2 linked regions of the Caenorhabditis elegans genome follow. The protein of the gene in region 1 interacts with the protein of each later gene in a pairwise test. Each region holds a gene or a part of one and is shown in the gene's direction. Other genes may lie near its edges. The genes, in order: ccpp-6 and F13H10.1.

The links.
Region 2: the proteins of ccpp-6 (region 1) and F13H10.1 interact in a two-hybrid assay, tested with the Caenorhabditis elegans proteins (one large-scale study listed by BioGRID).

The regions. Positions count from the first base shown.
Region 1 is NC_003280.10:5,383,393-5,389,045, reverse strand, and holds ccpp-6 (Cytosolic carboxypeptidase 6), read left to right. Parts: upstream 1-1,728; coding exon 1,729-1,810; intron 1,811-1,893; coding exon 1,894-2,018; intron 2,019-2,445; coding exon 2,446-2,543; intron 2,544-2,597; coding exon 2,598-2,811; intron 2,812-2,864; coding exon 2,865-3,106; intron 3,107-3,218; coding exon 3,219-3,330; intron 3,331-3,608; coding exon 3,609-3,695; intron 3,696-3,993; coding exon 3,994-4,118; intron 4,119-4,498; coding exon 4,499-4,620; intron 4,621-4,669; coding exon 4,670-4,842; 3' UTR 4,843-4,909; downstream 4,910-5,653. Other genes in the region: ndx-6 (Putative nudix hydrolase 6), read left to right, coding at 1-129; rsp-4 (putative splicing factor, arginine/serine-rich 4), read left to right, coding at 220-425, 482-619, 1,097-1,151, 1,195-1,386; pkc-3 (Protein kinase C-like 3), read right to left, coding at 5,414-5,539. UniProt on the Caenorhabditis elegans protein: Metallocarboxypeptidase that catalyzes the removing of polyglutamate side chains that are present on the gamma-carboxyl group of glutamate residues of tubulin in sensory cilia.
Region 2 is NC_003282.8:11,002,541-11,005,649, forward strand, and holds F13H10.1 (MADF domain-containing protein), read left to right. Parts: upstream 1-2,032; 5' UTR 2,033-2,044; coding exon 2,045-2,186; intron 2,187-2,231; coding exon 2,232-2,305; intron 2,306-2,363; coding exon 2,364-2,504; 3' UTR 2,505-2,529; downstream 2,530-3,109. Other genes in the region: F13H10.9 (uncharacterized protein), read left to right, coding at 1-28, 465-600, 645-752, 803-868, 1,157-1,261.

The DNA.
Region 1 (5,653 bases):
AAAAATGTGGCTCTTCAAGCAGGAGATGATGCTAAAGCTTTACGCTGGATTGCAGTTAATTCAAATGAGCCACTTTACGCTTCTCATTCTCATTTTATTGATCTTCTAAAAGAATCTCATTCTCATTAACTACCACATGTCTCTCTTTTCTCATGTTCTCCTCTTATTTTCGCGTTTCTGTTAGCTATATTCAATTCATAAATGATTTTCATTTCAGAAATGAGCCGTGGAGGAGGTGGTGATCGTCGTGCCGCACCGGATATCAATGGTCTAACTTCGCTGAAAATCGACAACTTGTCGTACCAAACAACGCCCAACGATTTGCGTCGAACTTTTGAGCGATACGGAGACATTGGAGATGTTCACATTCCAAGGGACAAGTACTCTCGCCAATCGAAAGGATTCGGATTCGTTAGATTTTATGAGTAAGTTAAATTGGAACTATTGGAGAGAAAACATCAGAAAATCAATATTATTTTAGACGTCGTGATGCTGAGCACGCATTGGACCGCACAGACGGAAAGTTGGTTGATGGACGCGAGTTACGTGTGACTCTTGCAAAGTATGATCGACCATCGGATGAGAGAGGAGGCCGTGGAGGTGGTGGTGGACGTAGAAGGTTAGTATACTCAGTTGATTCCCCTTGTAGTTGTGCTCAAAAATTAGGCGCGAGACTTAATGGAACCCTTGTCTTCCTGACTTATTTATAGAACAGCAGCAGAGCCAGATGTTGCTGAGCTGAGCTGAATTTTTGCTGCTGTTGAAGCTGTAAATGCTTGCTGAGTGACACTTGAGTAGCAGAATTGCTGAAAATGCAGAGAAAAGCAGTTTTGATGTTGCTGTGTCTGCTGAATGAAACCAGCGGCGACAGTGTGGAAAAGGCAGAAAACAATTTTGTAAGTGCCCGAATATTTTCAATCGGCATATTCTACAGTTTGTTGCTGAAATTCAACTTTCGGTGGCAAACTGTATTGATAGACGTTGTTCTTTGTCTTTGAGTTGTCACTTCTTTCTATCGAATAGAACATTCACAGCGAGTAATGTATTTTGTACTCTATCAAAAACTTGATTCTTTTAAAAACTTAATAAATTTCAGATCCCGCTCACCGAGAAGACGCTCCAGATCTCCAAGATATTCTCGCTCAAGATCTGTAAGTTACTTTTAATGTCACCAATGTATTTAAATAATTTCAGCCGCGACGTTCTCGTAGTCGTACTCGTTCACCACCATCTCGTGATCGCAGAGATTCACCGGATCGTCGTGACAACTCTCGTTCCCGATCTCGTTCACCGCCACCACGTGAGGATGGATCTCCAAAGGAACGCCGTTCCAGAAGCCGCTCGGCATCTCGTTCGCCAAGTCGTAGCCGTTCCAACTCCCGCTAAATTCCGAAAAAATTTCCTCTTCGATTTCTGATTATTTTTCGTTTTCGTTTTCGTTTTTACTATGATTTACTCACTGATCCTGAAATTTCAAACGTCTTTTTTTTCCAGTTGCCTCCAACAAGACAAGTAATATATATGATTTCCAATTTTCCATCTAATTTCTCCAAGAGAACTGTTAAAATAAATCGAAATTCTGTCCGTCAATATTGTTCCAAACTTTTTTCTCTTGAATAAATTGGCTCAAGTGTCAAAGCAGTTAGAAATGTTCACCCAACCACACTTCCGGCTTCCGGTGTCGGAGCTCAGGTCTGGTTTTCAAAAAAACAAAATTTCATTTTCAATATGGGCTATGTTGGAAATGTCAGCTATCCTGATACAATTCCTGGTCAGGGAAATTTGGTTTTTGAAGCAAGTTTTGAATCTGGTTAGTTTTAAATTCAATTATAGACAAACAAGGAAGTAATTATATTATTATTTTTTGAATATTTAAAAAGTTTAAATTTTAAGGAAATTTGGGACGAGTCGACAAAGTTTCCTGTTCAGAATATGATTTATTCATTCGACCTGACACTTTGAATAATAAATATAGAGTTTGGTTCTATTTTGAATGCAAAAATGCATCTGAAAATCAGGTAAATGTTTGAAGAATTTGTATTTATTATTGATATTCGAAAACTGGATCTGAGGCGGAAACGTCGGGTCTCGCAGCGATTTTTAAAAAAATTCAATACCCTACGGGTTACTGTAGGTTTTCAGTTTTTTTCTGCAATGGCCATGGTTCTGAAATATTTACGAATTTTCCAGTATACCTAAATATGTTCTTTATTTTCGGGGAGAACATTTTGAGACAACTTTTTTCCTAGCTACAGTACTCTATTTTCCGCGCTAAAAGGTGTGTGCCTTTAAGAATACAGTAACCCATTCCTCGTTTTGAAAGTTACCGGCGGTTACTGTATTGATTGAAGGCGCACACCTTTTTGACTGGGTACTATTTGAAAATTAGTGTAATTATGCAGTTTAAACTTTAAAATTTTATTATCAAATTTGCAAATTCTTCAGCGGGCGATCTTCAATATTGTGAACTTTTCAAAACAAAGAACACTATTCGAAATGGGAATTGCAGCACCTGTAGTCAAATCAAATGCTCAAAATAGTTGGTATGATGAAAACCCCTCGATTTTCTATTTTAAAGAGCCATTTCAACATTTTAGGGCTCGAATCCCATCTCGCCATATCTACTACTACCGTAGTTCCCAACACAATGATCGTTGGATTCTTTCATTTGCTTTCATATTTGAATCACCAGATCCTGTTCAATTTGCATACTGTATACCGTATACTTATGGACAAATGCAGATATGGTTGAATGAGTTGGAATCCAGAAAATACCCATTTTTTCATAGAGATCTTTTGGTTCAAACTGTGGTAAATTGGAAATATTCATGGAATAGTCTGAAACTTTTTGGAAAATAATTCAGCAAAAACGTCGTGTCGACTTGATAACAATTGATGCAACACCTGACACATTCCAAGGATCCAAGAAAATGATTTTTCTAACTGCGCGAGTTCATCCTGGAGAGTCACCGAGTAGTCATGTTATGCATGGAATTATTGAATTTCTTGTTTCCAAAGATGATCGAGCACAGAAGTTGAGAAAAGTTTATTGTTTCAAAATTATTCCAATGCTTAATCCAGATGGCGTTTTTCTCGGAAATTATAGGTAACTTTTTGCAAACAGCCTAGGTAGGCATTCCTCGTCACCAACAACCTCTCGGCCCAGGCATAAAGGCGTACCTACCTACAGTGCCTACCTTATCAGAAGGTCATTTCAGATGTTCTCTAATGGGTCATGACTTGAATAGAATGTGGAGAACCCCTTCAGATTGGGCTCATCCTTCAATTTATGCTGTGAAGAATTTACTGACGCAATATGATAATAATCCGGTGAGAGCTGTTAAATTTATCGATATTGGGAATTTATCGATATACATATTCAGTGTTTTGTAGGACTTTTGAGCATTTTCATCAATTTTTTTTTGCAATTCCCATGATACATTCAAGTTGACTGTATCTCGAAGCGATCAAAATCCTAGATTACTGTAGACTATGGTTAAATTGAAACATTGTGGGAAAGTTGCCATGCTCACTGTTATGTGTCAATTTTAGGAATAAATGAATCAATAATTTGTAGAAGTTTTAGGATCTGTTCTTGAATATTTCAGCAAGCCCAAACTGTAATCTACGTTGATCTACATGCCCATTCTCAGAAGCCAAATTGTTTTTTGTATGGAAATGTGAATATGTCAGCTGTAAGTTGTGAATTTTTTTGTGAATTGGTTCGGGCAACTTCAAGAATCAGTTATGAGTTACTGTATTTCTTGAAGGGGTACAGCAACTATTGAAAATATTTTGTCCGTGGCGAGACCCGATATTAGCCGATTGAAGAACTTAGCGATTTTAAACAAAGTACCCGGTCTTGATACTACCGAAACTTAGCAGTTATCTACAGCATTTCACAATTTTAAACCCTAATCTTTTCATAGTTTCGCTCAACTTTGCAATGACCACAAAATTTAAATTTTCTGAAACATTTTTTTCTAATTTTCGGTCGAAGAAAAATCGACTTTCCGGCAGTTATGGCTTCCGCATTTGCTGGCAGATCTTTCCGAAGATTATTCGCTCGAGTTCACTCAATTCAACACGGATGTGGAGAAGGCTGGTACTGGCAGAAGGTGAGATTTTTTATATGGAAGGGAACGAATAATTTATTATGGATTTCGAATAGTCGTGATTTTAATTTGATGGGTCTTGCCACGATATGAATTTTGCAATAGCTAGTAATTTCTCACATGGTCATCCGTAGTATCTGCGTGCAAAAACACGACTGTGGGTCCTGGCGTGAGTGAACATTTCCAGCAACAGTACCTTTTACTTTCAATCTCTATTTTGCAACATTTTCTCAATATTTTGTGTGGTTTTATAATGATGTTTCTAGAAAATATATGCATATTTTCAAAATGAATACATTGGGAAACACGGAGTTGAGAAAAACACGCTGGGTTACTGTAGCAGAAAAATGCCAGTCGTGTCAGGACCCTTCATAACTTTTCAGAACGATGGGAGATCTACTTTCCTGCCTTTGCTATACACTTGAAGTATCATTCTTCTCTTATCGCCATACAGACTCTTCTGGAAATGGAATACAACATTGTACGCCATATCTTCAATATAAATGTAGGTTTTTTTTCAGTGATTTCCTACTGTAACTTGGTTCAATTTTCAGATGAAGCTCTCGGCGAGGCATTTTGCAGAGCACTTCTCAACTTCTATGAAGCCGACTGTGGACTACGAGAGATTGTGCTCGAACGTCCCTTTAAGACTTTTCTACCCGCCCGCGCCCAGAAAACTTTGAAAAAGCAAGCGAGGAAGGTGATTCAGACTGTGATGATGAAATGAATTGGCGCCCACATTAGAACTGATAAAGACCATTGAAATGCAATTTTTTTTTGTTTGTCAATAAATAAGTAAGGGAAGTGGTCAAATGGAAGAACATGTAAATTGAATTGAAGTTAAATCGAGTTCCACACGTGGCACAAAAGAAGTGTCAGATGGCGAAGAGACTACATTGATCGTAGTCTTCGCCGCAATTTTACATATATTTCAGGGAAATGAATGAGCTGACAAGAAAAGTAACAAGAAGGTGTATTTAGAAGGGGAGGTCATCAAGCATTAGGTATTCCTAGCAAGTATGAATAGTCTAGATTTTAACAGAAACCAAAAAAAATCACAACCTTTTCGGGATTGTAAGATACCACAAGACGAGTAGAAGTGATTGTTGCGAGAAAATGTATAACAGATGTTGAGAAAAAGAAAATAAGTTAGGATACTGATTATGCCACGAGTTAGTGTGTCATAGTATCGTATAAGACAGTGGGCGAAGGAGATGGGATTCGAGAATAATAATAAAAATCACAAAAAAGTATACCGAAGAAAATAAATATTTGGGACTCGGGGGATGGTGGGGGAATCAGACTGAATCTTCCCGACTCATTTGTAGAGGATTCACGTATTCAAATCCATCAAATTCTGATTGATCAATTCGTGCAATAACATCTGGATTGTCAGGTGATAATTGTGGAAGTTCGTCGGTGAACTGAAAAAAAAAACAAGCATTTTGAATTAGTTTTAAAATATTTTGATTCAATAATTTATTAGTAAACAAAAACTAATTTTTTTTTAAAGTTAAGTTCTGAAGAAATTAAAATTA
Region 2 (3,109 bases), on another chromosome or scaffold:
CGACCCAATTGCAGAATTTTGAGGAGGGGTAAGGGTTTTGATTCTCAGACAAACGCTTAGTAGTCTAATTAGATTTCAACCATATTTGATTAGAAACTGAGCAAATATAATGGGGACATAATTAATAGGCTTCCTATTCTAATCCAATATGGATTTTCTAATCAAATATGGTTGAAATCTAATCAAATATGGCTGAGATCGTGCCATATTGGATTAGATTTCGACCATATTGGATTAGATTTGTTTTCTAATGAAATATGGAGGGAATCTAATCTAACATGGATTTCTAATCTAATATGGAGCAAATATAATGCAATATGGATTTTCTAAACAAATATGGTTGAAATCTAATTAGACTACTAAGCGTTTGTCTGAGTGCTACTGAAATTGTGATCTAGTTTTCTAAAATTATAACAAAGCAAATATTCATTTCAAAAACTGATACAATTTTTTTCATGTTTCAGGCAAGCTAAGAACGGCGTGGTTCAAGCAAGCATTAAACCAGGGAATCGATTAAATATCAAAGACATTTCAAAATCCACGGATACTGTGAGATCTCATCGAGAAGAATCATCTAGAAGCCATGAAACAATTGGACAGGTTAGTTATTAATTAAGAACAAAAATTATAAATATGGATTTCAGTATGAAGAACGAATAACCGGTGTGTCAAATGCTTCCAATAATAATTCAAGATCCGGTGCAGCTACTGGAATTGCACAGAGATTTAGAGATGAAGAAGCTGCGAAAAATGTAAGAAACTTTTTTGAAAATTAAACGGTTTTGTTGATTTTTATTTTTAGAAACGGCTGGACACCATATCCGAGATAGCAATGTCAAATGATTCATTGCAAAGGAATGACTCAAAGGTACATAATCTATTAATATTGAACTCTAACACGCTTTGAAAATTAGTATTTCAGTCTCTTTTAGTCTTGCGCTTTTTTTTGGATTTCAAATTCAACAATTAAAAATTTTAAGAAACCACTTTTCGTGAAAGTTGAAAATCACTATTTCTAAATAATAATAAAAACTTGTAGTCTCCGTTAGTATTGCGCTTACATAAATTTAGTAGAGTTTGAAATCAATGTAATCTATGAAATCAAATAATGGAATTATTTCAACACCACATTTCGCAAAATAATAATTGTTTTCAGACAAACGTATTCAATAACATTGATGGTTCACGAAAAACAATATCCCCGATGGAAGTTGATCTGAATCCGGGTTTGAGCAGTTCGATCAATTTGGAAAAAATATGATTATCACTAGCTATCACCATGTCTAAAACTATATCATTTTTGAAATCGATATCATGATGGAAAAACGGAAGATCTCTTGTTTCTTGAAAAATAAAGTTATTTCCTAATATATTTTTAGCTTCAAAATATATATAGTAATTGTCACAAAGGCAGACTCTGATTTAATAAAATATGTGAAACCAGGTGTGGGCGGCGATTGAAAATTTTTGGCAATTGTCAGTTGTTGTAAGTTTTCATATCCAAACGATTATTTTGAAATTTTCAAATATCACATTGCATTCAATAATTATCTGGCAAATCCCAAAAATTATGTTCATGACTATTAGAAAAGATATAAGTATCTCGTCATTGGAAACCAGACATTTTTCCATCTCATCTTACAGTAATTCCAATTACACTTTTGCATCTTACGTACAATTTAGTAGAAACCCAGCGCAAAACGAAATGCGATATCATGTGAGAACAAACATAATACAAACAAATACATATCGGTGAGTCTCCAAGAAGTTCAAGCTTTTCCCAGTCTGTTTGCTTTTTGGGCCTTCAAAACTTTTTTTACTTTTTTGCGCAAGCATGGTCGTTGAGAAGTGTTAGGACACTCCTTTTTTCCACTCCTTCTTCATCCAAAATGAATGACAAAACTCTTGAGGAATTCACTTTGAGCGTCCACCACTTTCCAGACACTTTCACACATTTTTAATTTGTTTTCATGTCTTTTTTCTTTACTTAAATCTTCATTTTAAAGATTTAATTATACTTTAAAAATAATAGTTCATAGTTGCAATGTTGGATCACAATAGACTGGAAGAATTTATCGAACAAATTCGTCTTACTCCAGCAATATGGAAAAATCGAGAATTTGATATATCTCGTGAGCATATGAATGAAATTTGGGCTCATTTCGGGCACACTTTTGATATTTCTCGTGAGTTTTGCACATATATGAAAATAATATCCAACAGATTTTTAGCAAAGGAAGCTGAAATGCAATGGGAATATCTCATTCGGCTTCATCGATTTATGAATAGAAATGCAAGTTTAGAGGTGAGCAGAACAATTTAAATTTCAAGAAATAAATTTCAAACGAAATGTTTATTTTCAGCAATTTCGAATTGAAGTTCCTTCCCTAGAAGATGATTTTACACCGGCAGATACTCTTGTTGCTGAATCACTTGCTATTTTCTTGAAACCAACATTAGATGAACTTTTATTGATATCGAAACCATCAGAAACTTCCGTCTGAAACTGCAATAAATATTTTTTGTTTTTTTTAAATATTTAATATTGCTAAACGATATTTTGAAACTTACAAATGTAGTGATAAAGTGAGTTTTCAAATCCAATCATTGCCAGGAAAAAGGTTTTTTTTAATTTTGGGGAAAGAAAATAATAAACTAATAAGTTCTGAAAGTAGATTTTCTGGAAAAATGTTTTCTCAATTTATATCGGCCTGCTAATGTAAGCCATCCAAACAGCGCTAAATTCACCAAAATTCCTTATGATTATTTTTGTACAGTTTTTACGCGGGTATTTGCAACTCATTACTTTGGAAATCGGTCAAAAAATTGTTCCACTAAAAATAATATTAATAATATATGTTGATTATGTTTTTAAATGCCCGGGGAGATGATCGATAATGCGACAAAAGACTGTAATTCTAAAGAAACACACATTTTTAAAAATTGGAATTTTGCCAAAGCTTTCATTCAGAAATTTATAATTATGATTGATTTTCAAATGTGCTATTCAGCAATGTTGAACTATTATTCGTCTTATAATATATACCCAGTATCGATATCGACCTTCTAAAATGAAAAATCACACAGATAAAACTTCCGCATTTTTCAA